6 linked regions of the Macaca mulatta genome follow. The protein of the gene in region 1 interacts with the protein of each later gene in a biochemical or structural test. Links are inferred from orthologs where the notes say so. Each region holds a gene or a part of one and is shown in the gene's direction. Other genes may lie near its edges. The genes, in order: RPS6KB1, RPS6, RPTOR, PDK1, MAPT and MTOR.

Region 1 (4,994 bases):
GCCAGTGGCAGTTGACTGTATGAGCTATTTTTAAGTCAGTTACCTAAGACAATTAAATATTTCAGGTAGTTGGTACTTTTCTTTTTCTGGTTTTATTTTGCTTAATTTAACCATTTTAAATATGATTCTCTGGGAATTTTTTCTTCAAACTATAGAATAGATGTGCATTCGTTTGCTAGGCTTGCTGCAACAAAGTACCACAAACCGGGTGGCTGAGACAACAGAAATTTATTATCTCATAGATCTGGAGACTAGAAGTTCTACATCACATTGTTAGAGTTGGTTTCTTTGACGACTGTGAGAAACTGTATGTTCCATGCCTCTCCCCTGGCTTCTGGTGGTTTGCTGGTAATCTCTGTCATTCTTTGGCTTGTAGGTGCATCACCCGGATCTCTGCCTTCATGTTCACATGGTGTTCTACCTGTGTGCATATCTGTGGCCAAATTTCCCCTTTTTATAAGGATACCAGGCATATTGGATTAGGGTTCTTCTCTACTCCAGTAGGACCTCATCTTCACTAATTACATCTGCAATAACCCTTTCCAAATAAGGTCACATTCTGAGGAACTAGAGGTTAGAATTTCAACATACGAAATTTTTTGGGGGGTGGGTAAGGCACATGCTTCAACCCATAGCAATATGTTTTTGAGTAAATGAGTTAGTATGTTAGTTATTGTCTTTCTCCCACCTCAGAATCTGAGAAAATACAGTTTCTTTTTCCATTCCTTGGGATGTAGGTGGAGAAGGAGGAGGATGATGATGGTGATTATTTTTTGGTCATGGAGCTAATGTGACCCACTTTAAAAAACAACAGACAATTGTAAGGAGGATAACTGTCATACACCTACCGCCCAGCTTAAAAAATGATTAGGTCATCTTGTTTAAACATAACTGCCATCCCAGCATCACACCTCAGAAGTTGACAGTTTGCCCAGTTTTTTTTTTTTTTTTTTTTTTTTTTTGAGATAGGATCTTTCTCTGTTGCCCAGGCTGGAGTGCAGTGGCATGATCATGGCTCATGGCAGCCTCAACCTCCCAGGCTCAAGGGATCCTCCCGTATAGCTGGGACCACAGGGGTGTATCACCACACCCAGCTAGTTTTTAAAATTTTTCTAGAGATGAGGTTTCCCTGTGTTTCCCCACTTAATTTTTTGTTGTTGTTGTTCCATTATTTTTTTTTCGTCCTGTTTGTGAGGATTTAATCAAGGTTTGTATATAACTTGGTTACTATGTCTCTTAGGTCTCTTGTTATTTACAGATTCCCCTTGTGATTTACTGACGAAACCGGGTCATTTGTCCTGTAGAATTCTCAGATTTTGATTTCGTTGATATTATCCCCATAGTTTCATTGACCATGTTCATCTGTTCCCTGAACTTCCAAAAACTGGTAGTTAAATTTAGGTGGTTGATCTGATTCAGATTAAACTCTCAGTATTGCATGCTTTGATCAGGAGGCATAATGTATAGTTTTTTGTTGTTTTTTTTTTTTGTGATGTTAGTGGTCACTGATCATTGCCTGTGTCAGCATTTCACTACCAGGGTAATTTGGCAATGTCTGGAGATACACTGATTGTCACAGCTTGGGGGAGGGAATGCTGAGGCACCTTTAGGGGTAAGAGTCAGCACAGCGAAGTATTAATAGGCCTGAAATGTCAGTAGCACTGAGGTTGAGAAACTCTGGCCTACTTTTATAATTTCATCAGGTGTTTGTGAAATGGTCTGATTCTGTTATTTCTTCTTTCTTTGTTAGCTCGAATTCTTCATAAAGAGAAACTCTTTGATCAGTTAGTTACTCAAGGTATAGTTCATACAGGAAACGCAGGATGTATGTTTGATTCTTTCCTAGTTTTCAAAATAATGAATTAGTTCCCTAGCATCTCCCAAAATTGACCAATGAACTTTGTGTATTTTTTTTCTTTTTTAGTATATTATGAACTTACACCTTTTAACATATTTGTATTTCATTTCATTGCAGTTATTTTTATTTTTATTGATTCATTTATTCATTTTATTTATTCATTTATTGTTTTGAGGCAGGGTCTTACTCTGTCACCCAAGCTGTAGTGCAGTGGTGTAATCTCTGCCCACTGCAGCCTTGACTTCCCGGCCTCCAGCAATCCTCCCACCTCAGCCTCTTGAGTAGCAGGGACCACAGGTGCACCACCATGCCCAGCTAATTTTTGTGTTTCTGGTAGAGACGGCATTTTGCCATGTTCACCAGGCTGGTCATCAACTCCTGAGCTCAAAAGCAGTCCACCTGCCTCTGCCTCCCAAAGTGTTGGGATGATGGGCGTGAGCCACCACGCCTGGCAGTTATAATTGATGCTCAATTTTTCCCTTTGTTGAATGCTGGGTGCAGTGAATGCTGGGTGCAGTGAATGCTGGGTGCATCTTCATGTTGGTTTCTGAGTCCTTTTGACATGAGCACATGGGCTGGTGTTGCACCAGAGAGCAAAATAAGGAAACTGGTATTCTGTGCTTATCTTGTGCATTTCCCCACACCTGGAATCAGCCGCTCCTCCAGGGAGTGCGGTTCACAGTCTGGGCTCTGAGAGAATTATAAGGTCAGTGTGGTCATCTTTCAGTATGAAGTCAGATATTCTAAATTATTATTTACTTCCTACATTTGGCCCAAGAGTCTAACCAGATATTTTGGGAGAGAAGGAATTAAATAAATGAATCTCATGGTTAGAACTGAAGTGATAACTATACTTTCACAGGGAAATATAACTTACAAACCATGCGGAATAGAAAATTATTTTTGCTCCTTTAGATTTCTAAAGGAATGAAACACGCTGTGGGAAGAAACTTTAACTGGAGCATCTCACCAGTGTTATTCATGTTTTAACTCTGCTTCAGGAGTTTTTCAGGTTTATTACAAACCTGCAGTAGCCAACTGAACTAATTATCTCTAAACAGGGATTTAGCCAGTGGACTAGGCACAATGAAGCTTTGTGAGACGGGAAATTGATATTAACATTTTTTCCAGCTTGTTTTGAGCTCGATATATTCACTTTTTTTTTTTTTAATTGAGTCAGACTCTCGCACTGTCGCCTGAGCTGGTGTGCAGTGGCACGATCTCTGCTTGCTGCAACCTCTGCCTCCCAGGTTCCTGCCTCAGCCTCCCAAGTAGCTAGGATTACAGGAGCACGCCACCATGCCTGGCTAATTTTTTTTATTTTTAGTAGAGACGGGGTTTCGCTATGTTGGCCAGGCTAGTCTTGAACTCCTGACCTTGTGATCCGCCTGCCTCAGCCTCCCAAAGTGCTGGGATTACAGGCATAAGCCACCATGCCCAGTCAATATATTCTCATTTTTAATAGGAATAACTCTATACTAAAATCTATTAGAGTGCAAGTTTAAGATTTGAAGATGTAATTTGACTCAGTACTTTCCACCTGCATTTTTTTCTTCATTCTGTGCCTGCTAAGACTATTCTAATACTTTATTATAGTTAACCCCTGCGAAAAGAGCTCCCAGAGCTTACAGTGCATTTGATTCATGTAATATATATATGGACTATTTATTATTTTCTAAATTATTTTGTTTGTATAAAGCAATCTGAAGAGGATGTAAGTCAGTTTGATTCCAAGTTTACACGTCAGACACCTGTCGACAGCCCAGATGACTCAACTCTCAGTGAAAGTGCCAATCAGGTCTTTCTGGTAAGTGAAACAATTTCCATGTAGTCATAGGAAATTTTAAGTATGAGGATGGGCTCTTGGATAAGAAAATTCAGTTTGCCTGCTTTGCAGTTCATGTAGGTAACCGGGTCCACTTTTTTTTTTTTCATTAGCGATGCCCTTATAACTTACTGATACCTACAAAATTGATTTTCATAATCCAACATTTTATTTTAGCAATTAGGGTGGGAATGTGCAATTCTTTGGAGAGTATGATTCCCTTTTTTGGTTGGGCCACAGACTTAAAATGGTGTTTGGCTTAGCATCTCAACCAAAAATTAGTCATAGCAGTGGGGAGAAAAACCTCACACTAACTACATGTATTTTATTCCTGAAACAGCTGTAGATTTTTGGTATCCCTTTTTTTTTTTAGACAGGGTCTCACCTTGTAGCCCAGGCTTAGGTATAGGTTATAGTGGTATGATCACAGTTCTTTGCAGCCTTGACCTCCCAGGCTCAAGTGATCCACCCATTTCAGCCTCGTGAGTACCTGGACTACAGGTGTGTGCCACATCCAGTTAAGTTTTGTTTTTTTTTTTGTAGAGACAGAGTCTCACTATTTTACTCCTGGACTCAAGCTATCTTCCCACCTTGGCTTCCCAAAGTGCCACAGTTATAGGCATGAACCATCATTCCTGGCCCTATTTTTGGTACTCTTAACATAAGTAGGGGATTTTTTTTTTTTTTTTGAGACAGAGTCTTGCTCTGTCGCCAGGTTGGAGTGCAGTGGTACGATCTCAGCTCACTGCAACCTCTGCCTCCTGAGTTCAAGTGATTCTCCTGTCTCAGCCTCCCGAGTAGCTGGGACTAAAGGTGCGTGTCACCACGCCCAGTTAATTTTTGTATTTTTAGTAGAGACAGGGTTTCACCATGTGAGCCAGGATGATATCGATTTCTTGACCTCGTGATCCACCCGCCTGATTACAGGCATGAGTCACCGCGCCCGGCCAAGTAGGGGATTTTTAAACATTAATTGTGAATATTTGACATCAAAATATATTGGTTCATATGTAATAGTGAATTCTCATCATAGAAATGCCTGTATAGATTTATAGCTTGTCTCCTCAGAAAAGTAAAGGTTTTTGATACTGGCCAACAGAAATGATGGATTTATATCGGATGACCATGAATGCATACTATTTTGCTCAAATATCACATGCTTGTTGATTTTATTACTGTATTTAATATGTCACATGAACATCTATCTCATTTTGTATCCTTTTTTTTTCTTTTGTCATTCCTTTTTGGACTACCTCTAGGGATAACAGAATATGGGTAAAATAATTGTTTAGGAGTGTTTTTTTTCCCTGT
Region 2 (5,429 bases), on another chromosome or scaffold:
TGGCCAACAAACACATTAAAACATGCTCAACATCATTAGTCATTAGGGAAATGCAAATCGAAACCACTATGAGTCGCAGCTACTCCAGAGGCTGAGGCAGGAGGATGCTGCAGGCCAAGAGTTCCAGACCAACAGGATCTCGCTTTGACCCTGTCTCTACAATACATTTTTTAAAAATTAAAAAAAAAAAAAAAAAAAGTGTTGGCCATGATTTTGATAAACTGCGGCCCTCATACATTGCTGGTGGGAATGTAAAATGGTCCAGCTGCTGTGAAATAGTTTCCGTTTCTCCCTGAGAATAAAATTACTGTATGACCCAGCAATTTCACTCTTAGGTATATACCTAAAATAACTGAAAACAAGTACTCATACATAGAAGAACTATTTACAATAGTTAAAAGGTAGAAACAACCCATATGTCTATTAATGGATGAATGGATAAACAAATTGCAGTCTATACCTACACTAGCATATTGAGCCATAAAAGGGATGACATACTGATACATGCTACGACTCAAAAGATTAGTCAGACAGACACAAACGGTCAATATTGTATGATTCCATTTTTGTGAAATAGGCACATCCACTGAGACAGGACACAGATTGGTGGTTGCCAGGGCCTGGTGGAAATGGGGAAGGGGGAGCAACCGCTTAACGGGGCACAGCGTTTTCTTTTAGGATGATGAAAATGTTTTGGAACTGTATCGATAGAGAGGCTGGTTGTACAGCATTGTGAATGTACTAAATGCCACTGAATTGTTCACTTTAAAAATGACTGGTTATGTCAATTTCACCTTAACAAAAAAATTACATACAGTACTCAGATTTTAAAAAGCATCATTTCACCAAGATTCCACGAATTAATGTGAGATGATCAAAGCGGATTCAGTAGAGTCATTCAACTTCGAACGTGAAACAGTCCTAAACTCAAACCTTTGTGACACTAAAGTGGGAAGATGGTATGTGATAATTTTAGAAAGTAAACATTATTCTTGTTTACTTGATTTGGAACTCGAACTTTTATTATTTTGAGGCGGAGTCTCCCTCTGTCGCCTAGGCTGCAGTGCAGTGGTGCGATATGGGCTCACTGCAACCTCCGCCTCTCGGGCTCAAGCGATTGTCGTGCCTCAGCCTCCCTAGTAGCTGGAACTACAGTCGCCCCCCCCCACCACGCGCGGCTAATTTATATATTTTTATTAGAGACGGAGTTTCGCCATGTTGGCCAGGCTGGTCTCGAACTCCTGACCTAAAATAATCCGCCCGCCTCAGCCTCCCAAAGTGTTGGGATTACAGGCGTGAGCCACCCAGCTCCAAAACCCAGGGAGCGTGGAAAAGACAAGACAGGGAAGGGGCTAACCCTCAGAATCACACGCGGGCTCGCCTTACCAGACCACCACTGCTGGCATAACCTCACAACCACTGGCAACCAACTTCACCTCCCAGACCCTGATTCAACTCAACCCCGGAAGTGCCGCCCACCCGTGCTTACTTCCGCTGTCCCGTACTTCTGCTCATCTCGCGAGAACTGAAAGCGCCTATGAGACTTGCGCTAAGCGGAAGTTGGTCCTCTTTTCCGTGGCGCCTCGGAGGCGTTCGGCTGCTTCAAGATGAAGGTAGGTGGTGGTGGCGAGTGTTAGACTGGTTTGGGGAACGTGAATCGAGTCCCAGAACGCGGCATTGCCTCATTTCCAGCACTGCAAGATCCTGGCTTTAGGTGCAGAAGGGTCTCAAGTAGGAGAAGGCTCGCTTTTCTGGGGCATGGAGCTTTTTGGCCGAGCGGATGGCAGGCGATTGCGGCTGGAGCCGCGGCGGGCCGGGAGCGCCATGGTGGCGTCCCGGCGTGTTGCCCAGTTTGCGGCAGGCCTGTGGTGCGGCTCTTGACCCCGGCTTTCTTGCTTCGGGAGGGTGAACAGCTGCGGAGCGCCCTCGCCCCCAGAGTCATTCTGCGGGGCTTGAGGGGAACACGTCCTCCTGAGTGCGGCGCTTCTTGACTGCTACTGTGCTTTCACGTGCTTTTAGTGAGTACGGTCGGCATCTCATATTTCCTGCTTGTGTGGAGGCAACATGAAAGGCTTTTTGCAGTGGAATTAACTTTGTGGATGGCTCTACAATTACCTGTGTAGGTAGTTTCGTAAACTATTTCCCTCCCTTTTAATCCTTAGCTGAACATCTCCTTCCCAGCCACTGGCTGCCAGAAACTCATTGAAGTGGACGATGAACGCAAACTTCGTACTTTTTATGAGAAGCGTATGGCCACAGAAGTTGCTGCTGACGCTCTGGGTGAAGAATGGAAGGTAAAAGTTAACAATCAAATTGTTGCAGCTATTGAAGTCAGACGGTAAACGCCATTGGTAATTGGTATTTGGAATGGGGTTCAGACTGCGGGTTCTGGCTTCTGACCTTTGGTAAGTTGCTTCCGAATGCCACTTTATGAAGCTGAGCTGTTACCTTGGAGGGGAGACATAGAGTAAGCCGTAAAATATACGTAAAGTTTACATCAACGTAATTCTTGCCATGCATCATGCATTCGGCAGATGTCACATAGCTGTCCTCATAATCTCCAAAGTGCGAAGACGCATTGTATCTTGTTTGTTGCTCTTTGATATTTTATCTTCCTAGTGCTGTTATTTCTAATAAAACATCGGTTAGAAATGCGACTTGAATGAAAGACATCTGATAATTGAACTTGATAAGTTGGGAATGTAGACAAAACTTACTGATCAGAGAAAACGTGCTTAAGTTTTAAGTTTAAATTGGTTTTCATAATGAATTATACTTTCTCATATAGGTGTGGTTCACAGAGGTCACAATCCTGTATTGTATAATTTTGGAATAGAAATAGTAAATGTGTCATTCATTGTATGCTCTTGCAGGGTTATGTGGTCCGAATCAGTGGTGGGAACGACAAACAAGGTTTCCCCATGAAGCAGGGTGTCTTGACCCATGGCCGTGTCCGCCTGCTACTGAGTAAGGGGCATTCCTGTTACAGACCAAGGAGAACGGGAGAAAGAAAGAGAAAATCAGTTCGTGGTTGCATTGTGGATGCCAATCTGAGCGTTCTCAACTTGGTTATTGTAAAAAAAGGTGAGGGTTACTTGTGTTCAATTTTCATTGAAATTGATGTAAAGCCAGTTGTCCAAATGCTTATTCATTTGCAGTATCCAATGGATTTGTTTCTTTACCATCAATTCAACATTAAATATTCTGATTTAGGATTCTTAAGGAAGTTGTTGAATTAAAATCTTTTCAATTGTGTCTTCTAAGGAGAGAAGGATATTCCTGGACTGACTGATACTACAGTTCCTCGCCGCCTGGGCCCCAAAAGAGCTAGCAGAATCCGCAAACTTTTCAATCTCTCTAAAGAAGATGACGTCCGCCAGTATGTTGTAAGAAAGCCCTTAAACAAAGAAGGTAGGAGGGATTATGCAATTAGGGCTTGCTTAATTTTGGTGATTTGTCAATATCATTTTGTGTGCATATGAGAAGATAAAAATGTGCCTTTGGAGCCTTAGCATTCTTCACCTGGAGTCTGAATTTTTACAAAAAATATGTGGGGGTGGCCAGCATACCCACTTGGTATTAATCCTTGCTTATTATATCCAGTGCCTTGTAGAGTGCAGTAATTTCCTTGAAAATCTGCCTGTGAATCTTTGATGTATACATTTATCCAAAACTAACCTGACTTTAAGGTCATTGCTATCTGGTTTAGGAGTCACATGCTTGAGAATTCTGGAACTATTATCTCACCACCACACACTTTGTAATTTTACATCAGATGTTCTAAATTATTACTGTTAATATTTTTTAAGAGATGAGGTCACACTGTGTTGCCCAGGCTGGTCTAGAACCCTTGAACTCAAGTGATCCTCCCACCTTGGCCTCCCAAAGTGCTGGGATTACAGGCCACCACACCCAACCCTAAATTATTTTTTGGCTTACTAAAGAAGTTGCTTTAAACTTTTGTTTCATCTGTAGGATATGGATAACAATTGTTAAGAGTTGTAAGAATTAGAAGTTAGAGACCTTAGAATACTAGGAAGTGGGAGTTAGGGATTTTGGAGCTTTACCTTTTAAGAACTTGTGTCAATATATTAGACAACATACCAGTGAGGACCTCAAATGACAGTATTTCTGTAGTGAAATTTGGGAATGTTTATGTTAAATAGAATAAACAGCATGTCAGTCAAGGTTGGGTTTTCCTGACAAAATCTGAAAGAATTTCTCTGGATTTTGTTTTTTCAGGACTGGTGTGACTTAACACCTGTACATGGCATATATAGTACATGTTTGTTAAGTCAGTAATTACAATTATTTGAGCACCAGGTACTGTTCAAGGTGCTGAGAATACAGTATAGACAAATTCCTACCCTAATGAAGCTGACATTGCAAAAAAAAAAAAAAGAAAAGCAATTGACAAATAGGTGGCAGTTGCCGATAATCACAGCCCTGGAAATAATCAGAATAATAAAAGCGTGGTGTGGTTGATGGGTATTTTTAGATGGTTCCTGTGTTTATAGTAGGAGTCTGAAATATTAGCAGAACCTGAACATCTGAGCATTTAGCCTAAGGCAATTAAACTCCCACGAGTGTTCATGAAACAGCCTGTGCTCCAATGCAAATCTACAGTCTGAGCAGTTTTGGAGTACAGATCAGATTAATGAAGATACTTTAACAACATGTCACATAATCTGATGTTAATTGTTACGTTACCCCTGAATTGGCAGGAATTGTCAAGGGAAATAGAGATGCAAGCTTACATCAAACTTACACTTAAAAGTATGGCAGGATGATTATGTAAATACTATGTTAAGTGGTTTTCACAGACAAATTGACTATGCAGAGTTATATTTTAACATAATGCCACTGTATTTTAGTAAAACTGGAAGGTAGTAAAGGTTAGCTTGGTTATTTTTCAGCACTTGGTTTCCCTTATATTTTTATATTTAACCCATCTTCTAGATTTCTGTGGAGGAGCAAAAAGTATTTTAAAATACTTCTGATTTGATTTTAAAGGCCTCAATACAGGTTTTCATAGATGCTGTTGATGAAGCTTACGTTCATTTCTGATGTTTTTAAAGTAGATGTGGATTCTAACAAAACAGTTGAAATGATTGAGTCCTTTGAATTTTTAGGTAAGAAACCTAGGACCAAAGCACCCAAGATTCAGCGTCTTGTTACTCCACGTGTCCTGCAGCACAAACGGCGGCGTATTGCTCTGAAGAAGCAGCGTACTAAGAAAAACAAGGAAGAGGCTGCAGAATATGCTAAACTTTTGGCCAAAAGAATGAAGGTTAGTGTAAGATGATTTGAAGGGGTGGGAGGAGTTCGACCTGGCTTTGGATTTGCATCTTTACCCCAGAAAGGCCTTAACTATATGCTGTTTTTTGTTTTGTTTAGGAGGCTAAGGAGAAGCGCCAGGAACAAATTGC
Region 3 (5,612 bases), about 40 Mb from region 1:
CCGTATTAGCCAGGATGGTCTTGATCTCCTGACCTCATGATCCACCCGTCTTGGCCTCCCAGAGTGCTGGGATTACAGGCTTGAGCCACCGCGCCCGGCCTTTTTTTTTTTTTTTTTTTTTGAGACAGAGTCTTGCTTGATTGCCCAGGCTGGAGTGCAGTGGTGCGATCTCAGCTCACTGCAGCCTCAAACTCCTGGGCTCAAGTGATCCTCCTACCTCAGCCTCCTGAGTGGTTGGTACTACAGATGCATGTCATCATGCCTGGCTAATTTAAACATTTTTGTTGTTGTTGTTGTTGTTGAGGCCAGGCGTGGTGGCTCATGCCTGTAATCCTAGCACTTTGGGAGGCTGAGGCAGGTGGATCACCTGAGGTCAAAAGTCCGAGACCAGCCTGGCAAAGAGTCCTGCCTCAGCCTCCCAAGTAGCTGGGACTACAGGCACCCACCACCACGCCCGGCTAATTTTTTGTATTTTTAGTAGAGATGAGGTTTCACCGTGTTAGCCAGGATGGTCTCGATCTCCTAAACTCATGATCTACCCGCCTCGGCCTCCCAAAGTGCTGGGATTACAGGTGTGAGCCACTGCGCCTGGCCAAGGGTCAGATCTTGATGTCCAACATTGGTTATGGGAGCAACAAAAAAACAAAGCCCATGCTGCCCACTGGCTTCCGGAAGTTCATGGTCTACAACGTCAGGGAGCTTGCTGCTGATGTGCAACAAAGCTTACTGCGCTGAGATCGCTCACAGCGTTCCTCCAGGAACCGCGAAGCCATTGTGGAAAGAGCCGCCTAGCTGGCTGTCAGAGTCACTGTCCCCCATGCCAGGCTGCGCAGCGAAGAAAATGAGTAGACACATGTGCGTGTTTGGTGTTTAAATAAAACTGTAAAAACTGCAAAAAAAAAAAAAAAAAAAGTGCAGATTCTGAATCCCAGTCTCCCTGCTCCCCGATCTGGGGGTCTGGGGCGGAAGCTGGGCATCCTGATTTTTAGTTTCCTGGGCGATTCTGACCACCTGGTGGGTTTGGACTTCAACGTGCTCACTTAGAATTTCTTTCTTTTCTTTCTTTCTTTTTTGAGACGGAATCTCACACTGTCGCCCAGGCTGGAGTGCAGTGGCGCAATCTCGGCTCACTGCAAGCTCTGCCTTCCGGGTGCCCGCCACCACGTCCGGCTAATTTTTTGTATTCTTTAGTAGAGACGGGGTTTCACCGTGTCAGCCAGGATGGTCTCGATCTCCTGACCTCGTGATCCGCCCGTAATCCCAGCACTTTGGGAGGCTGAGGCGGGCGGATCACGAGGTCAGGAGATCGAGACCATCCTGGCTGACACGGTGAAACCCCGTCTCTACTAAAAACACAAAAAATTAGCCGGGCGTGGTGGTGCGCGAGGCTGAGACAGGAGAAAAGAAATTTACAAAGGATAAACTGCTCAGCAAATGAAACAGATTAAACAAAGAATTGTATTCGATGAATTTTTTTTTTTCATCGAATCTTGCTTCGGACCCTTCTTCATCTGAAGAGTCTTGCTCAGTCTCCCAGGCTGGAGTGCAGTGGCCTGATCTTAGCTCACTGCAACCTCTGCCTCCCCGGTTCAAGCGATTCTCCTACCTCAGCCTTCCGAGTAGGTGGGACTACAGGTGTGCGCCACCATGCACAGATAATTTTTGTATTTTTAGTAGAGACGGAGGTTTCACCATGTTGGCCAGGCTGGTCTCGATCTCTTGACCTTGTGATCTGCTTGCCTCAGCCTCCCAAAGTGTTGGGATTACAGGCGTGAGCCACTGCGCCCAGCCTTTCACTTGGTTTTCTACGAAAAAGAGAAAATCTGATTGACACTGTGGAAGATACTACATTAAAAAAAAAAAAAAAAAGTACTATATTTTCTAATATTATCAGTGTTTTTTCCTGAAGCTTTTGCCGCTTTTTCAAAATCTGGAAGAAACAAGGCGGTTGATTCCTCTAATTTCAGGAGCATGTAGCTTCATTTATAATAACAATGTTTTTGAAAAAATAAATTAAACCGACAGTTTCATTTGTAGGACTGACTTTAATAACACGCCTCTACTGAACAAATGGCGATTAACTGGGGAAAACGGAATTACGGTAACCGAGGTAATGGGGTCAGGGACTCCCTTTCCTTCACTGCTTGTTGGGTGGCGCGGCGAGAACGCTCTGAGGAGGTTTGGTCTGTCGGCCACGCCGTAGGCCGCGGTGCATTCTGGGTCCTGGCAATATGGCGTCCTCCTTGATGTGCTGATGAGATGAGTTTCCCTGTAGCTCCAAACCAGAGGGCAAAGCTCCCCTGACCCAGTAAGCCCTCATTGTCCGTTTTCTCCGTGGTTCCGTGTCGCCTGTTTCTCAGGACTCGTTCTCAGGCAGGAGAGAGCCTCGGGGCTGAAGGCCAGGACCAGCCAGGCCGCGCGGACCTGAGGTTGAGGAACCGGGTGCGGGCGAGCACGATGGGCCGGTCCTGGCTCTGGTTGCGGCAGCTCAGACGAGTGCGGGACCCGCAGGGCTGAGAGTGGCTGGAGGAGACCCAGGGCCCTTTGAACCCGATCCCTTGGCCGGAGACCTCGGCCCAGTGGGCGAACCGGCACCAAGAGCGGCCTGCCTGTCCTCGGAACTGCTGAGGCGTTGGAGGCCGAGAGCAGGGTCATCGTGAGGCCTGAAGTCTCTTACGCTTTTGACAGCTCCGCTCGCAGCCCCTCTGGAAACGTGCAGCCCCAGGAGCAGCCAGTGGCTTGGGACTTGGGCTGGTGTGTGTCTGCGGAGCTTCTTGGGCTGCCCCATTTCCTAGCGGCCCCCACCTCCCCACTTCCCGCCCAGAGTTAGAGATAAGGATCTCAGACTTTTTGCCTGAGTAAGGGTCTCCGCACTCTCCATCCATTTGTTTTTCGATTCCCCGTTTTTCTGTTTCTTATTTCACCAATTCTGGTACACGCTAGTTTTTAAGGCTGGAGGTTCTTGAGCGCTTGCTGCCAAGGACTCCCCCACCCCCTCCCCCACTGATGGAGTCCGAAATGCTGCAGTCGCCTCTTCTGGGCCTGGGGGAGGAAGATGAGGCTGATCTTACAGACTGGAACCTACCTTTGGCTTTTATGAAAAAGAGGCACTGTGAGAAAATTGAAGGCTCCAAATCCTTAGCTCAAAGCTGGAGGATGAAGGATCGGGTAAGTGGATTCTGAAGGCACCCCTTGAACTTGGTAGTTTCTCCAACAAAGAAAGTTTACAGCCTGAAAAGTGTCCTTGGGAAAGCGCTGACATTTCCCCCCAGCCACACGTTGTAAGTCAATTAGAAAGCAAAAGCCATTTCAGACTGCAGTTTTTGGCTGAAAATGGGAAAGGCTGTTTTAATTAGTCGTTATTCACTGGGTAGTGTTAATTCAATTCCAACTAAGTTCTGATTCAGATAATAAAAGTTAAGCAAATTTGAAATACAGCATTGCGAGTATTTACATGCTCTTCGGCATACTACTTTGTTCTGTTAACACTTAGAGGAAGGGCAACGTGCGATATAATGCTTATACCCACATAATTAGTCTACTTTGTAAAATTTCCAAGCTGGGTGAAGTGCAGAAGTCTGATATACTATGCTAGGAAACGAGATTACTGGAAAATGTTCAACTAGTAACAAATTAGTGCAAAGTTATTTTAAAGTTACAGTGAACTTCATTCTAGTCTTCTCAACAATTTGTCTTGAAGCTAGACTTTCCTCCTTTTATGTAGGGTCCTGTTGCTGTAACTTGGAGACAGGATTTCTTTAATTGTGAGTTAGGGTATGAGGCATTGACTGCAGGTTTCAGGTTGTCCTCATGGTGTTGGAGTGTGGAGAGTGATTCACAAGCAGCTGGTAGGAAAGAAAACAGCTGAATTTTGTTGAATTTATCCTTCATAAGATACCATCTATTTCCTGGTCTCAAAAGCAAAAGGGTGGTACTGCTTCTCATGTATGCACACTTATAATTTGTCTTTTGGTAAGTTATGTTCTCCCTCCAGGCTGCTTTTATTTATTTGCACGTTTCAGTGGTATAAAAGAGGAAGTTGGTGTTACAAGGTTTGATTTCCTTTAGGCTTATGTATATGTTTATGGAATATTATTGTTTTTTCATATATGATGATGAACATATATAAGATTACACTTCTGGGCTGGGCGCGGTGGCTCACACCTGTAATCCCAGCACTTTGGGAGGCCAAGGCGGGTGGATCACCTGAGGTCAGGAGTTTGAGACTAGCCTGGCCAACATGGTGAAACCCTGTCTCTACTAAAAATACCAATATTAGCCGGGCTTGATGGCAGCTGCCTGTAATCCCAGCTACTCGAGAAGCTGAGGCTGGAGAATCGCTTAAACCTGGGAGGCAGGGGTTGCAGTGACCTGAGATCGTACCATTACACTCTAGCCTAGGAGACAGAATGAGACTCTGTCTCAAAAATAAATAAATAAATAAATAAAGATTACACTTCTGGTAACTCTAGTCTGTCAGTAGTAAGCAGTACTTTAGTTACTGATTTGGCTTACTTCTAAAAGATTAGAAAAATTTGTTTCATCGAAAAGCAGTTTAAGGAGTTAAATAAGTTAGACATTGGGGGAGGTTGTATATTCTATCTTATGGACATCTTTAGTAGTAATTATATAGTTAAAAGCTTTTGTGGTTGCTATACATATGTGAAAATACTTTTTTTAAAAAAAATTCTGTGTAGAGGGCAGTTTTTTTTTTTCTTTTGAAATGTGGTTCCCTCTGCTGTCCTAAACCTATGTTCCAACTGTTCGAAACTGATTAATGGGTATATATTTGATCTTTTAATTAAAACATTAATTTGTGAATGATCAACATTCCATAATAAGCTTTTCACAGATTGTTAAGAGAAACAAGTTCTGTGACTCTTAGTAACTACTGAGATTGTTGCTTAGAAAGCAGCTGGGGAGAAAGTTTGCTGTATCTGTTTTTCAGTGGAGAAAATCAGCAGCTAACATCTTCAGTTGAGTTTGTGGGAGTTTGGAATCTTGTCATCTCTTCCCTCAGGTCAGACCTTGATGGACCGTTTCACACACCCTATAGGACAGAAGTTGCAAACTCAAATGATACTAAGAGTGAGAAGGTAGCATAAGTGAATGAAACAGGCCACATTTAAGAAGAATAATGGCATAGGTTCACAGATAAAGATAAATGGCAGCTGACATTTGACACAGTGTGTGTGACAGTTTCTGGAGGGTGGGAACGGGAGCTCCCTGATGCCGTAACTGAAGGCAACTGGGCCTTGGCCAGGCCTCTCTCTTTCTTTGTCTTTGAGAAGCCAGCAAACTTTTATTTTTTTAAATGTAAAGTCTTCCAATTTGTAAATATTCTTACTAATTCAGATATATTACCAAACACGTTGTAGTCCAACACTGTAGGCTGAACAAAGCCCATTTGTGGAGTGTTTTTCTGTTTCTTTTCTTTTCTTTTTTTTTTTTGAGACAGGGTCTTGCTCTGTCATCCAGGCTGGAGTACAGTGGTGAGATCACACGGCTCACTGCAGCCTCGACCTCCTGGGCCCAAATGATCCTCCCACCTCAGCCTCCCCAGTAGCGAGACCATAAGTGTGCGCCACTATGCCTGGGGTTGGGGAGTCTCA
Region 4 (4,994 bases), on another chromosome or scaffold:
TAAAAGAACGAACTTATCCTCTTGATCTGCATTTTAGGTATATCCAGAGTCTTCAGGAGCTTCTTGATTTTAAGGACAAAAGTGCTGAGGATGCTAAAGCTATTTATGAGTAAGTTCACTATTTTGACCCTATTCTTAAACCTATTATTAGGTCACTTAGGGGAAATTGATTAACTTTTAGGTTTCTGCTACTTTACAACATGTGATATATGTGACTATAGCAGCCCATACAGGCAGGATAAATAACCTAATCATTAAATTTGACTAGGCATAAGAAATGCTTCGCATTCCTCTTTAACAAAAGACAAAGTTCAGGTGTGATGATCAATGGAAATGTAGATGTGGCCTCAGTTGCAGTTGGATTGTTAACCTGGAGGGTGCATGCTCTTTCTAATGGACAACCACCTTCAGCCCCAGCTGATCTTTGCCATGTTAAAATACTGCTCATATCATCTGATTGTTTTCTGATTTTAAAGGAAAGCTACAAGTCTAGGTTTGTAATGTAAAATCTCTTGCTTTTGAAAGATTGGCAGCTAATTAAAACATTTTTTAAAACATAGAAGGCCTATAAAACATGGTTGCAGGTTTCTAGTTTATTCTCTATGGCCTGTAAGATGTCAGTAATATGACAAGTTTAATAACCCATATACCGGAATTGGTAGACCAAAGTATTTGCCATATGCAGCTACCTGCTTATTGCAGTGAAGGGCACCGACAATGTAATGACCATCTCTTGTCCTCAGTTAGTTACACATGTTTTTTGGACTGTCTTTAAAGGGAACAGTAACACTTCATTTTTTTAAACATGATTTTAATCTGAAAATAACGTTCAGCAAGAGTTTACTCCTTGCTTAGGTATTGAGCAGACTTTACATGAATGATGTTTTTTAATCTTTAAAACAATTCATTGAAATAATGCTGTTTGTGCACAAAGAGGGCATGTAGCTTAAGGTTACATAGTTAGCACATGGTAGAATCCAAGCAGCCTTACTTTAGAAGTAAACATGCTATAGAGCCTTCTGAAAACAGTCGTTCAGAGCTGTGGAAAATAAGTAGTCAAGCAGAATAATACAGCTTTGTTTTCTTTTAAGAAAAAAGAAAAATAAATAAAGGAATGACTAGAATGATGAGTTGTTTGTTGTTTTCGAAGAGTTTTGTTGTTTGTATTTTGGTTTAACAGTCTTGTTTTGAAGCTTGTTACTAACTAGGAATTCCAAAAATGTTTTAAGCAGTGGAAACATCATTGGAATAAGTTAATAGTACTCAAGATGATGACTTTGAATAGGAAAACACTCATTTGGAAGTGTAAATTCAGATGGGTTATGTTAGAAAATTGGTTTTGTTACTGCATAATTAAGACTTCTTGGGCCGGGCACAGTGGCTTATGCCGGTAATCCCAGCACTTTGGGAGGCCGAGGTGGGCAGATAGTCTGAGGTCGGGAGTTCAAGACCGGCCTGATCAACATGGAGGAACCCCATCTCTACTGAAAATACAAAATTAGCCAAGCGTGGTGGTGCATACCTGTAATCCCAGCTACTGAGGAAGGCTGAGGCAGTAGAATCGCTTGAACTTGGGAGGTGGAGGTTACAGTGAGCCAAGATTGTGTGATTACACTCTAGCCTGGGGAAAAAGCAAAACTCCATCTCAAAAAAAGAAAAAAAAGATTTCTTTTCTCTTTTGTCTTTTATTTAGTTCTTTAACCATGCAACGTCTTCTAAGTGACAGAAATGGGAAGGCTACTAGATGATTTGAAGATTTATCTTTTAATACAATTGTTTACTTTTCCTCTCCCATTTTATAAACTCATAGAATAAATGAAATGATAATTCTTTTTTCGTTTTTCTGTCCTAAGTGTTTCCTTCTCTCTTTGAACCCTAGGGAATAGTTCTAAAACAGGCAGGCTTTATTGGCTCATTCATCTTGATTCCTTGCAGAGCAGAGCAGGTGTTCCCTAGAGGCAAGTGCTTTGTCTTCTTCTATGCAGAATATCTCTGGAATACCATCCTCTTAGCAAGTGCTCAGATAACCTTAGTTGATAGCAGTTAAAACCATTAACATTTTTAAGATTATGTTTTGTCACAGCCTTACTCTTAGGAAACCAAGAAAATAATTACATTTTGAAAGTTTTATTTTGGAGGTCGTTATACTTCCATAGATTTGGTATATTTTATGATTTGAAATACATTTAAATAAGTATAGGAAAACATGAACTGATTTTCCTTTTAGTAAATTAGGGATTTTTGTCTAGCATAGTTGGTTAAACTTATATTTTTGTATTAAGTTTACTTGTCAAAATATTTGGCTGTTTTGACAGATGGGTTTGTTTAGCTTTACAGATACTGTGATACGGATCAGAAACCGACACAATGATGTCATTCCCACAATGGCCCAGGGTGTGATTGAATACAAGGAGAGCTTTGGGGTGGATCCTGTCACCAGCCAGAATGTTCAGTACTTTTTGGATCGATTCTACATGAGTCGCATTTCAATTAGAATGTTACTCAATCAGCACTGTAAGTGTCCTGAGTCAAGAGAAGCAGCTAAATGAGATGTGGTGGCATATTTTAAATGTATTTAGGAAACTTCCATTTAGGTAGAAAATTTAGTTTTACCTTTTGGCTAATTAAGAGAAGTAAATAGACTGCCATCAAGAAAGGTATTTTTATTGAATGTAAAATACTGTGTTTATCCTAAAGGCAAATATTTGTTCTACTGTTTGGTACAATTTAAACACTATTCAGATTTGGAAAAGAGCATTAGGTAGTTTAGCTTATTTTGTTGGTTTTGTCTTTTTGGATAGCTTTATTGTTTGGGGGAAAAGGCAAAGGAAGTCCGTCTCATCGAAAACACATTGGAAGCATAAATCCAAACTGCAATGTAGTTGAAGTTATTAAAGGTAAATACTGACATTTCTCTTTACAAAAAAGATACAAAAATCAAAGTTACTGTTATTTCTTACTATTAAACAACTATTTGTATCATGAGATAAAATGGTAGGCACCAATGCATGGGTTTGAAAATAACCTTATAGTATTATTTGTGCATTATTTATAGGATGACTATTTTATTGATAGAATTATAGATAGGCAAAGTTTGGTGATACTATAGAGGATATCTTTTTTGTTTTGTTTTGTTTGAGACAGAGTCTCATTCTGTTGCCCAGGCTGGAGTGCAGTGCTGCGATCTCAGCTCACTGTAGCCTCTGCCTCCTGAGTTCAAGCGATTGTCTTGCCTCAGCCTCCCCAGTAGCTGGAGTTACAGATGCTCAACACTACGCCTGGCTAATTTTTGTATCTTTAGTGCAGATAGGGTATTACCATGTTGGCCAGGCTGGTCTGGAACTCCTGCCTGCCTCGGCCTCCTGAAGAGCTGGGATTACAGGCGTGAGCCACTGAACCCAGCTGAGGGTATCTTTCACTTAAAAAAGATTTCAAGTCCCTGCTCCCCTGTTTCTAATTCCTTGCACTATGAGCAGTAATTCGTAACAGGTTGGTTTGAATCCTTTCACGCTTTCTTCTATTTATACCACTTGTACACATACACAATTGATATTGGCCTTACATTGTTGTTTTTAGAAAATGGGGTGCTCTGTGATTTTTCTACAAGTTTGCAGACATCTTGCTGTTCAGTACATCTGGATATACCCCAAGATTTTGAATGGCTGTATGGAATGTATCAGTATGTATTAATTAATTCTCCTGTTGGCGTACATTTAGGTTGTTTTAATTTTTTTGTTACCACCAATACCAGCAGTTCTGCTGTGAACATCCTTAAATACATGCTTACTTTTGCTAGTATTTTAGAGGGTAAGATTCCTAGAATTAAAAACATTTAAATGCATATAAAATTTTGGTATCTCTAAAAAGGTATCAAACAGTGGATAAGAGTATTTCCTAACCAACTCTTAAGTTTTGTTATATAGATAGGAAATATTTTCTTCAACCTGTTATTTTTCTTTTTTTTGCATTGTCGTTGGTGTCTTTTTAGCATATACACTTTTACATTTTTTTGTAGTTATATTTGTCATTTATTGTTTATGGCTATTCAGCTTTGTCATGTCACACTTAGACTTTCCCTGGGCCAGGTGCAGTGGCTTATGCCTATAATCCCAGCACTTTGGGAGGCTGAGGCGGGTGGATCACCTGAGGTCAGGAGTTCGAGACCAGCCTGGCCGACATGGTGAAACCCCACCTGTACTGAAAATTCAAAAATTACCTGGGTGTGGTGACACATGCCTATGTAGTCCCAGCTACTTGGGAGGCTGAGGCAGGAGAATCACTTGAACCGGGGAGGTGGAGGCTGGAGTGAGCTGAGATAGCGCCACCACACTCCAGCCTGGTTGACCAAGACTCTGTCTCAAAAAAAAAAAAAAAAAAAAGAGAAAGGCTTTACCTGGTTGGGGGCCTTGAGCCCAGGAGCTGGAGACAAACCTCAGCAATATAGCGAGACCATGTCTCCACCAAAAAAAAAAAAAAAAAAAGCAGAGACTTTCCCTAAACTATCAAAGTATATTTTCTTCTGTAGAGAGTTTAAGACTTTCATTTGTCAATACTATTGCCATCTTAATGCATGAAAGGGAAGTATATTTATTAAATCCTTTTTTGTTTTGTTTTGATTCGCACTAGATGGCTATGAAAATGCTAGGCGTCTGTGTGATTTGTATTATATTAACTCTCCCGAACTAGAACTTGGAGAACTAAATGGTAAGCCTGATGTTGTCTTTTTCTCAGTGATTAGTGCGTTGATTACTTCATAAGGGATAAGAATTTAAATGTTTTAATGGAAGATGACTTTTTTCATCAAATTCATTGGATATGAAGGCTAAAGGATAGTAATCATGTAAAAAGTGTATCTATAAATATATATGTAATTTAGTCAGATTCTTTATGAAAAAATTTGGCTTTTTGTGCCTCATTTTCTTTATTTTTAATTGATAACTTTGATTCTTTGCTTATTTTTAATTTTCTGTTTAGTCATAGAAAAAAATGATGCC
Region 5 (4,994 bases), about 21 Mb from region 1:
TAATTCCAGCACTTTGGGAGGCTGAGGTGGGCGGATCATGAGGTCAGGAAATCGAGACTATCCTGGCTAACACGGTGAAACCCCATCTCTACTAAAAATACAAAAAACTAGCCGGGCGTGGTGGCGGGCGCCTGTAGTCCCAGCTACTTGGGAGGCTGAGGCAGGAGAATGGCGTGAACCCGGGAGGCAGAGCTGCAGTGAGCTGAGATCGCGCCACTGCACTCCAGCCTGGGTGACAGAGTGAGACTCCATCTCAAAGAAAAAATAAAATAAAAAAATACTTGACTTACTGGAAGCCAACCAATGTATAATTTAGAATAATTTCTCCTGGGTTGAGCTGTCACTTACCTTTGCAGTATCTCAAGAGGAAGAGTTTACTGTGTAAATATTGATGCATACTTTGATTAGATAGATGAAGCAAACTATTTTCAAGCACTTTTCAAGGACTTACTTGTATCCAAACAGCATTCTAAAGGAAAGTCTTACCTACTTCTAAAGGCTGGTCTCTCCTTGAAACCTCTTGCTTGGCCCTGGTTCAAGTCCTGCTGCAAACCTGGAAGTCCCGTCACTGTCTTCTTCCCTGCAGAGCAGTGGCTCCCGATCTAATTTTTGCTGTGCCCCAGCAGCCCCTGGCACTTTGCCCTGTAGACCACAGACCTCATGTAATGTGTGCTAAGTCCACGGAACTGCGGAAGATGATGGCAAGATGCTCTTGTGTGTGTTGTGTTCTAGGAGGTGGCCAGGTGGAAGTAAAATCTGAGAAGCTGGACTTCAAGGACAGAGTGCAGTCGAAGATCGGGTCCCTGGACAATATCACCCATGTCCCTGGCGGAGGAAATAAAAAGGTAAAGGGGGCGGGTTGGATGCTGCACTTGGGTATGGGCATTAATCAAGTCAAGTGGACAAAGACTGGTCCAGTTCCCAGAGGAGGAAAACAGAGGCTTCTGTGTTGACTGGCTGGATGTGGGCCCTCAGCAGCATCCAGTGGGTCTCGACTGCCTGTCTCAATCACCTTCACCAGGAGCTTTAGCACATTTCACAGCTGGGCTCCAACTGGAGAGGCTGACTGATCGGTCTTAGGTGCAACTCAGTTGCTGGAGTTTTTGTTTTTATTTATTTTTAAGTATTTGAGGCAGGGTCTTTGTATTAGTCTGTTCTCACACTGCTAATAAAGACATACCCAAGACTGCGTAATTTATAAAGGAAAGAGGTTTAATGGACTCACAGTTCCACATGGCTGGGGAGGCCTCAAAATCATGGTGGAAAGCAAAGGAGAAGCAAAGGCATGTCTTACATGGCAGCAGGCAAGAGAGCGTGTGCAGGGCAACTCCCATTTATAAAACCATCAGACCTCATGAGACTTATTCACTATCATGAGAACGGCATGGGAAAGACCCGCCCCCATGATTCAGTTACCTCCCACTGGGTCCCTCCCATGATACATGGAATTATGGGAACTACAATTCAAGATGAGATTTGGGTGGGGACACAGCCAGCCCGTATCATTCTCCCTCTGTCATCCAGGCTGGAGTGCATTAGCATGATCTCAGCTCACTGCAGCCTCTACCTCCCTGGGTCAGGTGATCCTCCCACCTCAGCCTCCCAAGTAGCTGGAACTACAGGTACCTGCCACTATGCCCGGCTAAATATTTTGTATTTCCTGTGGAGACGAGGTTTTGCCATGTTGCCCAGGCTGGTCTTGAACTCCTGAGGTCAAGCAATATGCCCACCTCAGCCTCCCAAGGTGCTGGGATTACAGGTGTGAGCCACAGTGCTTGGCCTAAGTGGCTGCAGTTTTTAAAGCTCCCAGGTGATTCTTTAGTGCAGTCAAAAGTGAGAACTAGCTGGGTGCGGTGGCTCATGCCTGTAATCCCAGCACCTTGGGAGGCCAAGGTGGGCAGATGGTTTAGTAGAGATGATCTCTACTAAAAATACAAAAGTTAGCTGGGTGTGGTGGTGCATGCCTGTAATCCCAGCTACTTGGGAGGCTGAGGCATGAGAATCGCTTTAACCCAGGTGGCAGAGGTTGTAGTGAGCCAAGATCATGCCACTGCACTCCAGTCTGGGGAACAGAGTGAGACTCCATCTCAAAAAAAAAAAAAAAAAAAATGAGAACCACTGTCCTAGGCCCTGATGTTTGCAGACAACTAAAAAAGGAAGTGGACATCCCCAGTCACCTGTGGCGCACCAAGAACACATGGGAACATAATCTAATTTTCTAAATGGGTTACTAGGCACTTAGAGCAAAACAATGATGCTGAAATCCTGATTTCAGGAAAGCCTCTGCCTGCCTGTTGTGGAAGTGTCCACACGAGGCTCCTGGGGCCTTGGTGTCCCCAGCAGTTTCTAGTCTCCAGGTCTTGCTGTGGGTGTCTGTGCAGTGAGGGTGTGTGTGGCGCTAAGCGAGATCTGTCTAGGGCTGGCACAGGATGCGGTCTGGTAGCTGCTGCTTCTCTTCTGCAGAAGCGCAGCCAAGCACCCTCTGGGGTTTCCTGCCCACACCCAGCCTGAAGTTCTGGGAGTGGCTCACTTTCCAACCTTCAGGGTCTCCCAGGAGCTGACTGGGGCGTGGTAGAGGGAAAAGGATTGTATTAGTCTGTTTTCATGCTGCCGATGAAGACCTATCGGATACTGGGCAATTTACAAAAGAAAGAGGTCTGATGGAGTTACAGTTCCACGTGGCTGGGGAGGCCTCACAATCATGGCGGAAGGTGAAAGGCTTGTTTCACATGGTGGCAGACAAGAGAAGAGAGCTTGTGCAGGGGAACTCCCCTTTATAAAGCCATCAGATCTCGGGAGACTTACTATCATGAGAACAGCACTATCATGAGAACATAGGGGCAGGGAAAACCCGCCCCTACGATTCAATCCTCTCCCATCGGGTCCCTCCCACAACGTGTAGGAATTGTGGGAACTATAATTCAAGATGAGATTTGGGTGGGGTCACAGCCAAACCGTATCGGGGTGTCCCAGAAAGGGTGTGGGATCTGAGACCCAGCTCGGCGTGAGGAAGTTTGCTTCTCGAGGTGGCCCAGTCGGGTGGAAGTGGCAACCAGGCTGTCTCTCCACCAGGCCACTCAGGTGGCAGCTGAGAGACCCCTGCCCTGGTCAGTCTCCGCCCTCCCCTCTTGCCACTGCATCTGGTTCTGAACAGATGGGCACCCTCATCTTGTGTTTGTGATAAATGTCTAACCATGTAGTTTTGTGAGAAGTGTTTGCCGCAGATGCTGTAAACTGTGGCCTGGGGCAGACCTCACCTCCAGACAGGCCCTGAGGCTGGCGAGGGCACTGGTCCATAGTAGCTGGCCGAGAGCTCTCAGGTTGTGCCATGCAGGACACAGGGATACTTTTCAGTGCCTGGGTCACTATCCAAAGTGAGAAAACAGCGGGGGACCAGGAGGCTGCCCGCCTCAAGGGATGTGGGGGCCGGGCCCAGTTATCTGAGGAAGCAGTCAGCTTCTCTGCTGTTTCCACCACCCAGGCCGCCCCTGGTCTAAGGCAGGGCCTCCCAGCCTTGGGGCGCTTTAAAGATACCTGGGCCTGGCCCCGTCCCCACAGTCTGACTGAGTGGGTCGGGATAGGGGCATGGGCATTGGCGATTTCCTGGGTGAAGGGAGGCCCGCTGCAGTCTCTGGAAGCTTCTCTGTGTTAGGAAGAGCTCTGGGCTTGACTCTGCTCGGAGAGTCAAGATCCGCAAATCCTCTCAGCCTCAGTTTCTCCTTCAGCAAGATGAAATGGAAATGCTGTACCTACGTCCCAGGGTGGTTGTGAGACCCCCCCCCCCCAAAAAAAACAATGTTCTGGAAGGTTCCTGGTGCGTTGCAGTCCTCTAAGAACCTGAGTTAGAGCCATGCTGAGTCTCAGCTTCTTGGCTCCTTCTGTTTCCAACTTGTCCATGTGATGGCTCAGGAAGGTGGGCAGGGCCCTGCCCCTACTCAGAAAACATCATCCTGGTCCCAGGGATCCCCGCAGCGTTAGTCCCGTTTTCCGTGTGTTGAGAAAAATTGCTAACAAGCAGTGGGGCACACCACCAGCCTCCTGGGTTCCTTTCAGTTTGGGGATTTTTGGACATTCCCAGGAATGTCAACTTTCTCTTAAAAAACACTTCAAAAAACATTAACATAAATATTTTTATCAAAGCTTGTATTAAATGGTCTTTCAAGAAAATACAGTAACAGGCCAGGCATGGTGGCTCACGCCTGTAACCCCAGCACTTTGGGAGGCCAAGGCAGGCAGATCACCTGAAATCAGGAGTTCGACACCAGCCCGGCCAATGCAGCAGAACCCCGTCTCTACAAAAAATACAAAAATTAGCTGGGTGTGGTGGCACACACCTGTAGTCCCAGCTGCTCGGGAGGCCGAGGCAGAATTGCTTGATCCCGGGAGGTGGAGGTTGCAGTGAGCTGAGATTGCGCCACTGCACTCCAGCCTGGGTGACAAGAGTGAAACTTTGTCTAAAAAAAAAAAAAAAAGAAAAAGAAAAAGAAAATACACTAATAGAGAACAATCTGTTTTTCAAAGTAGTGACTGCAAATGAACAAAATATGCATCTAGCTTAAACGGGAGCATGGTTTTCTCTATGCCCATTCAAGCCTGCTGCAATAGGGGCCCTTCAGCCTGGATCCATGGACTCCTAAAATTATATGGAAAATGGCTGTGTGGGTGTGAGCGTGGGTGGACATGTGCACACATATTTTTGGCTTTACCAGATGCTCAAAGAGCCTAGGACCCAACAAGGGCTGAGGATAACCCTGTCGGCCGCTTCAGGGTCATCAGGAATTCCTGTGCGCTGCTCACTTCTCCAGTGAGCGCCTTCTGCGTCCGCGTTTCCTGGTATCCTTCGGGGCTCCTGGCTAGGTCATGTGTTTCTCTACTTTCTTTTTTTTTCTTTTTTTTTTTTTTGAGACGGAGTCTCGCTCTGCCACCCAGGCTGGAGTGCAGTGGCTGGATCTCAGCTCACTGCAAGCTCCGCCTCCCGGGTTCACGCCATTCTC
Region 6 (4,994 bases), on another chromosome or scaffold:
TTGAGGTGGGACATTAAAGAATGTCATTATGTCTCAACTAGCCACTGTTGGTTTCTCTGCAGGAGGCAGAAGGCAATGCAGGTGGACGCCACAGTCTTCACTTGCATCAGCATGCTGGCTCGAGCAATGGGGCCAAGCATCCAGCAGGATATCAAGGAGCTGCTGGAGCCCATGCTGGCAGTAGGACTAAGGTGGGTGTCAGAAACCTGAGGTTGCCCTATATCAATGTGCGGCTTGGCCTCCAGTGTTGGGACTGTTAAAAGAGTGAGGTGTGGTTGTTTGCACTTTCAGTTGGATGGACAGGATAGCTTAGACTAAACACATAGGCTAGTACTGAATCCTAGTTTCATCACTAGCATGTTATGTGATCTTGACTAAGTTATTTAATTTCTCTGAGCCTCTTTTTTTTTTTTTTGAGGAGTCTCGCTCTGTTGCCCAGGCTGGAGTGCAGTGGCGCGATCTCAGCTCACTGCAAGCTCCGCCTCCTGGGCTCACACCGTTCTCCTGCCTCAGTGTCCCGAGTAGGTGGGACTACAGGCACCTGCCACCACGCCTGGCTAATTCTTTGTATTTTTGGTAGAGATGGGGTTTCACCATGTTAGCCAGGATGGTCTCAATCTCCTGACCTTGTGATCCGCCCGCCTCGGCCTCCCAAGTGCTGGGATTACAGGTGTGAGCCTCCGTGCCCGGCCTCATTTTTTTCTTTTAATCTGAAAAGTGGGTACAATAGTAATTCGTATTGCCTAGGGTTGCTGTGGGTTCATGATATAGTCACTCTTAGCACCATGCCTGGCATATAGGAAGTACTCAATAAATATTTGCAAATATTGTGTATATTATTGAGCAAGTTGCTTAAGCTTCCTAAACTAATTTCTCCTCATCTGTAAAATAAGGACAGTGTTTTAAATCTGCTCCCAGAGTGTTTGTTGAGACTTGGTCTTCTGTAGTGGCTGAATTATAGTGAGCAAATCTTTTGTGGTGAGAACCAGAAACTCACAGATTGTTTGGATACCTGAGACTAAGCCAAGAGAGTTTACACTTTTATTCTTATTTTATAATATCCTTTCTACTCTGAAGAACAGAGGCCTGATCCCCTTGCTAGGAGAGAAAGCTATTTCTTCCCAAGAACAGACTGAGTGTCATGTGCCCAGCCCTTATGTGGCTTGTTTCCTTCCCCTCAGCCCTGCCCTCACTGCAGTGCTCTACGACCTGAGTCGTCAGATTCCACAGCTAAAGAAGGACATTCAAGATGGGCTACTGAAAATGCTGTCCCTGGTCCTTATGCACAAACCACTCCGCCACCCAGGCATGCCCAAGGGCCTGGCCCATCAGCTGGCCTCTCCTGGCCTCACAACCCTCCCTGAGGCCAGCGATGTGGGCAGCATCACTCTTGCCCTCCGAACGCTTGGCAGCTTTGAATTTGAAGGTAAGAAATTACAATGTCTCTTGGCAAGGTAGTGAGAGCTGCTGGAAACTTTGGGAAAGGAATGAAAGTATCTAGACTTCCTGGATCTTGCTGTGATCCCAGAGACAGGGTAGCTGATTCTGTAGCAGCTCATCCTTCCTAGACTCTTTCCATATATTGGTAATTCCTGTTTGTTTCTTTGTCCCATACTGAGTTTGGGGGCAGATCGTTTGAGGGAAAGTATACGTTGATCCAAGGAAATAATGCTGCAGAGACAGATCCCCCTCATGTCCCCACTTTTTCACCTCCTTGTAGCTGAGATGATATGTAATGCTTTAAAATGTATAAGCAGGGGCTTTTGGGTGTTTCCATGTCTATGGTGGTATGGTGTCTTTTCTCTTTTTTTTTTTTTTTTGAGACAAAGTCTCTCTGTTGCCTAGGCTGGTGTGCAGTGGCACAATATCAGCTCACTGCATCCTCCATCTCCTGAGTTCAAGCGATTCTCCAGCCACAGCCTCCTGAGTAGCTGGGACTGTAGGTGCGTGTCACCATACCCAGCTAATTTTTGTATTTTTGGTAGAGATGGAGTTTCACCATGTTGGCCAGGCTGTTCTGGAACTCCTGACCTCAAGCGATCTGCCTGCCTCGGCTTCCCAAAGTGCTAGGATTACAACCATGAGCCACTGTGCCCGGCTGGCGGTATGATTTCTAAAAGTACTGTACTGTGTAGTTCTAAACTGCAAATAAACCCACAATAATACCCCACAGAGATATATTTCAGGAGGAGAAGTTGATACTTTTGAAATTTAAGATCATATAGGTAGTATTGGTCAAGACTGTAGAGAAACAAGCAAGTACAGAAAGCCTGAACATGCTGTCTGGAGACAGCCACCTGTGGTTTCTCTATTGTGGTTTCTCTATTTCTCTTTTGCCTTTCTGCTGATTGAAAGCCCCCTTGTTACCCTTTAAGAGTTCTGGGTCAGGCCGGGTGCGGTGGCTCACGCCTGTAATCCCAGCACTTTGGGAGGCCGAGGCGGGCGGATCACGAGGTCAGGAGATCGAGATCATCCTGGCTAACATGGTGAAACCCTGTCTCTACTAAAAATACAAAAAGAAAAGAAAAAAAAAATTAGCCGGGCATGGTGGTGGGCGCCTGTAATCCCAGCTACTCGGGAGGCTGAGGCAGGAGAATGGCGTGAACCCGGGAGGTGGAGCTTGCAGTGAGCGGAGATCGTGCCACTGCACTCCAGCCTGGGTGACAGAGCGAGACTCCGTCTCAAAAAAAAAAAAAAAAAAAAAAGGAGTTCTGAGTCAGTATCTTATTGATCAATATCTGGTTGAAAGTAGAATTAGTAGCCTCAAAATGGAAAATTCAGCTAGCAAGCTGCAGACCTACCTGTCTGCAGCAGCAGTGTTTATTCTGTTTTCTCTCTGCCTTTCTATCCAGGCCACTCTCTGACCCAATTTGTTCGCCACTGTGCGGATCATTTTCTAAACAGTGAGCACAAGGAGATCCGCATGGAGGCTGCCCGTACCTGTTCCCGCCTGCTCACGCCCTCCATCCACCTCATCAGTGGCCATGCTCATGTGGTTAGCCAGACTGCAGTGCAAGTGGTGGCAGACGTGCTTAGCAAACTGCTCGTGGTTGGGATAACAGATCCTGGTAAGGCTTCCCAGACAGAAGCAATCTAGGGGAGTTAAGGAGCTTAGGGCAGTTGCGAGTAGCCAGTTTCATTACGTAATGAAAGGCCTCTCTAGAGATCTTCGGCCTCAACAAGCTGATATTCAGCTATTTCTCTGCCAAGGCGTGTTAGGCGCAGCTACTCTAGCCTCTTAGTGTAAGATAATCTGCCTTTAATTCTTTGTCTTTACTCCTATGAGTAGAGAAAAGAGTAACAGAGGTTAGATGAGAGAAAGCATCTGGAATCTTCCCACTACGCTGATGGCAGTGGAGGTGGAAGCTGGGAAGGGCTAAAGTGATGGGGTCATGAAGAAATGTTCAAAGGCTCCATTGCTCTTGCAGACCCTGACATTCGCTATTGTGTCTTGGCATCCCTGGACGAGCGCTTTGATGCACACCTGGCCCAGGCGGAGAACTTGCAGGCCTTGTTTGTGGCTCTGAATGACCAGGTGTTTGAGATCCGGGAGCTGGCCATCTGCACTGTGGGCCGACTCAGTAGCATGAACCCGGCGTTTGTCATGCCTTTCCTGCGCAAGATGCTCATCCAGGTAACCGGGATGATGGCCAGACCCACAGGCAGGGAAGACAGGACTCTCACTTTGAGAGCTGCTTGAGGAAGCGGAGTTGAGGACAAGGATTGGGGAGAAAGATTGAGGTACCTGGTAAAAGCCACATTTGTCTGCAAGGGTCCACGTTTCCCTGGCTTTATAATGGCAGTTCCAGTGCTCATCACCTCATGAGCCCTTTGTCAATATGACTCCAAGGTGGTTCGGAGTCCTCTCATGTAGTTCTTTCTTTTTCCTGGCAAGTCGCCAGTGATCCCATTTCTTGGCCCTCTTTGCTTGCTGGATTGATCTGCTGCAGATGGTGTCAGACTTCCCAGCGCCTCCCTATCCTTCCACTCTCCTGCTTTTCTTGCTGGTGCCAGGTCAAGCATGGAAGCCATTGTTCTTCACAAAAATAACCAATGTGAGACCGTTTCCACCATTTATTCTGATAGTCATTGCCCCAGTCTGTGATCCTGGCTTTTGTTCTTAAATAATATGAGAATGCCAAACTCAGTTGCTTGGTCTGTAGCCTAAGGTAGAATTCCTCTTGAGATATGGCTCCTCAGTTTTTGTCTTCACCTACCTGAGTAAGTTCTGTGGCCTCCTGGTGAGCAATACATGGTCCAGTCCTGCCTGGCAAAGTTATTTCCAGCTGCCTCTTCTGGGTCTCTATGTGGTTCACCCATTCATTTCCTGTCCCCATTGCTCGCTGTCTGCTTCCTGACCCTCCCTCATGCTTTGTTTTGAAGTAAACACTTTTTGTAATATATAAGGAACTTAAACATAGAAAATCATTAATATATGTAACTCACTCTAGAGAAATGTTGTTTGTTCACAATTTGTTGTAAAGTGGCTGTAAATTATATCATCAATCAACAAATTAGGAAGCTGTACTTACGTTGGCACTTCTGTTTTTAGCCTAATGATTTATTTAACTGCTGGCCTGCGTTAGAAGTGCCTGTCATTTTAAGTCTTAAAAAATTTTCTGAGTTTTAGGAAGGAATAGAAATCATTGTTGAAGGCTGGGCATGGAGGCTCACACCTGTAATCCCAGCACTTTGGGAGGCCGAGGTGGCCAGATCACCTGGGGTCAGGAGTTCGAGACCAGCCTGGCCAACATGGTGAAACTCTGTCTCTACTAAAAATAAAAAAAATGAGCCCAGTATGGTGGCGAACGTCTGTAATACCAGCTACTCTGGAGGCTGGTGCTGGGAGAATTGCTTGAACCCAGGAGGCAGAGGTTGTAGTGAGCCAAGAGCACGCCACTGTACTCCAGCCTGGCAATGGAGAGAGACTCCCATCTCAAAAAAAAAAGACTGGGCGCAGTGGCTCATGCCTGTAATCCCAGCACTTTGGGAGG

What was found.
Region 2: of the proteins of RPS6KB1 (region 1) and RPS6, one has a biochemical effect on the other in vitro, tested with the Homo sapiens proteins (4 studies listed by BioGRID). The link is inferred for Macaca mulatta from reciprocal best matches to the Homo sapiens genes RPS6KB1 and RPS6.
Region 3: of the proteins of RPS6KB1 (region 1) and RPTOR, one has a biochemical effect on the other in vitro, tested with the Homo sapiens proteins (6 studies listed by BioGRID and IntAct, with this or other methods). The link is inferred for Macaca mulatta from reciprocal best matches to the Homo sapiens genes RPS6KB1 and RPTOR.
Region 4: the proteins of RPS6KB1 (region 1) and PDK1 form a complex in vitro, tested with the Homo sapiens proteins (2 studies listed by BioGRID and IntAct, with this or other methods). The link is inferred for Macaca mulatta from reciprocal best matches to the Homo sapiens genes RPS6KB1 and PDK1.
Region 5: of the proteins of RPS6KB1 (region 1) and MAPT, one has a biochemical effect on the other in vitro, tested with the Homo sapiens proteins (2 studies listed by BioGRID and IntAct). The link is inferred for Macaca mulatta from reciprocal best matches to the Homo sapiens genes RPS6KB1 and MAPT.
Region 6: of the proteins of RPS6KB1 (region 1) and MTOR, one has a biochemical effect on the other in vitro, tested with the Homo sapiens proteins (18 studies listed by BioGRID and IntAct, with this or other methods). The link is inferred for Macaca mulatta from reciprocal best matches to the Homo sapiens genes RPS6KB1 and MTOR.

What each region holds. Positions count from the first base shown.
Region 1 is NC_133421.1:50,034,902-50,039,895, reverse strand, and holds part of RPS6KB1 (ribosomal protein S6 kinase beta-1), read left to right. Parts: intron 1-376; exon of another isoform or gene 377-573; intron 574-3,557; coding exon 3,558-3,665; intron 3,666-4,994. UniProt on the Homo sapiens protein: Serine/threonine-protein kinase that acts downstream of mTOR signaling in response to growth factors and nutrients to promote cell proliferation, cell growth and cell cycle progression.
Region 2 is NC_133420.1:79,810,681-79,816,109, forward strand, and holds the start of RPS6 (small ribosomal subunit protein eS6), read left to right. Parts: upstream 1-1,566; 5' UTR 1,567-1,607; coding exon 1,608-1,613; exon of another isoform or gene 1,614-1,714; intron 1,715-2,162; coding exon 2,163-2,294; intron 2,295-2,873; coding exon 2,874-3,084; intron 3,085-3,264; coding exon 3,265-3,411; intron 3,412-5,132; coding exon 5,133-5,290; intron 5,291-5,397; coding exon 5,398-5,429. UniProt on the Homo sapiens protein: Component of the 40S small ribosomal subunit. Plays an important role in controlling cell growth and proliferation through the selective translation of particular classes of mRNA.
Region 3 is NC_133421.1:90,242,552-90,248,163, forward strand, and holds the start of RPTOR (regulatory-associated protein of mTOR), read left to right. Parts: upstream 1-2,228; 5' UTR 2,229-3,006; coding exon 3,007-3,168; intron 3,169-5,612. UniProt on the Homo sapiens protein: Component of the mechanistic target of rapamycin complex 1 (mTORC1), an evolutionarily conserved central nutrient sensor that stimulates anabolic reactions and macromolecule biosynthesis to promote cellular biomass generation and growth.
Region 4 is NC_133417.1:77,481,272-77,486,265, forward strand, and holds part of PDK1 (pyruvate dehydrogenase (acetyl-transferring) kinase isozyme 1, mitochondrial), read left to right. Parts: intron 1-37; coding exon 38-109; intron 110-2,329; coding exon 2,330-2,514; intron 2,515-2,801; coding exon 2,802-2,897; intron 2,898-4,626; coding exon 4,627-4,704; intron 4,705-4,994. UniProt on the Homo sapiens protein: Kinase that plays a key role in regulation of glucose and fatty acid metabolism and homeostasis via phosphorylation of the pyruvate dehydrogenase subunits PDHA1 and PDHA2.
Region 5 is NC_133421.1:70,918,712-70,923,705, forward strand, and holds part of MAPT (microtubule-associated protein tau), read left to right. Parts: intron 1-732; coding exon 733-845; intron 846-4,994. UniProt on the Homo sapiens protein: Promotes microtubule assembly and stability, and might be involved in the establishment and maintenance of neuronal polarity.
Region 6 is NC_133406.1:229,490,526-229,495,519, forward strand, and holds part of MTOR (serine/threonine-protein kinase mTOR), read left to right. Parts: intron 1-62; coding exon 63-191; intron 192-1,181; coding exon 1,182-1,426; intron 1,427-2,852; coding exon 2,853-3,068; intron 3,069-3,428; coding exon 3,429-3,634; intron 3,635-4,994. UniProt on the Homo sapiens protein: Serine/threonine protein kinase which is a central regulator of cellular metabolism, growth and survival in response to hormones, growth factors, nutrients, energy and stress signals.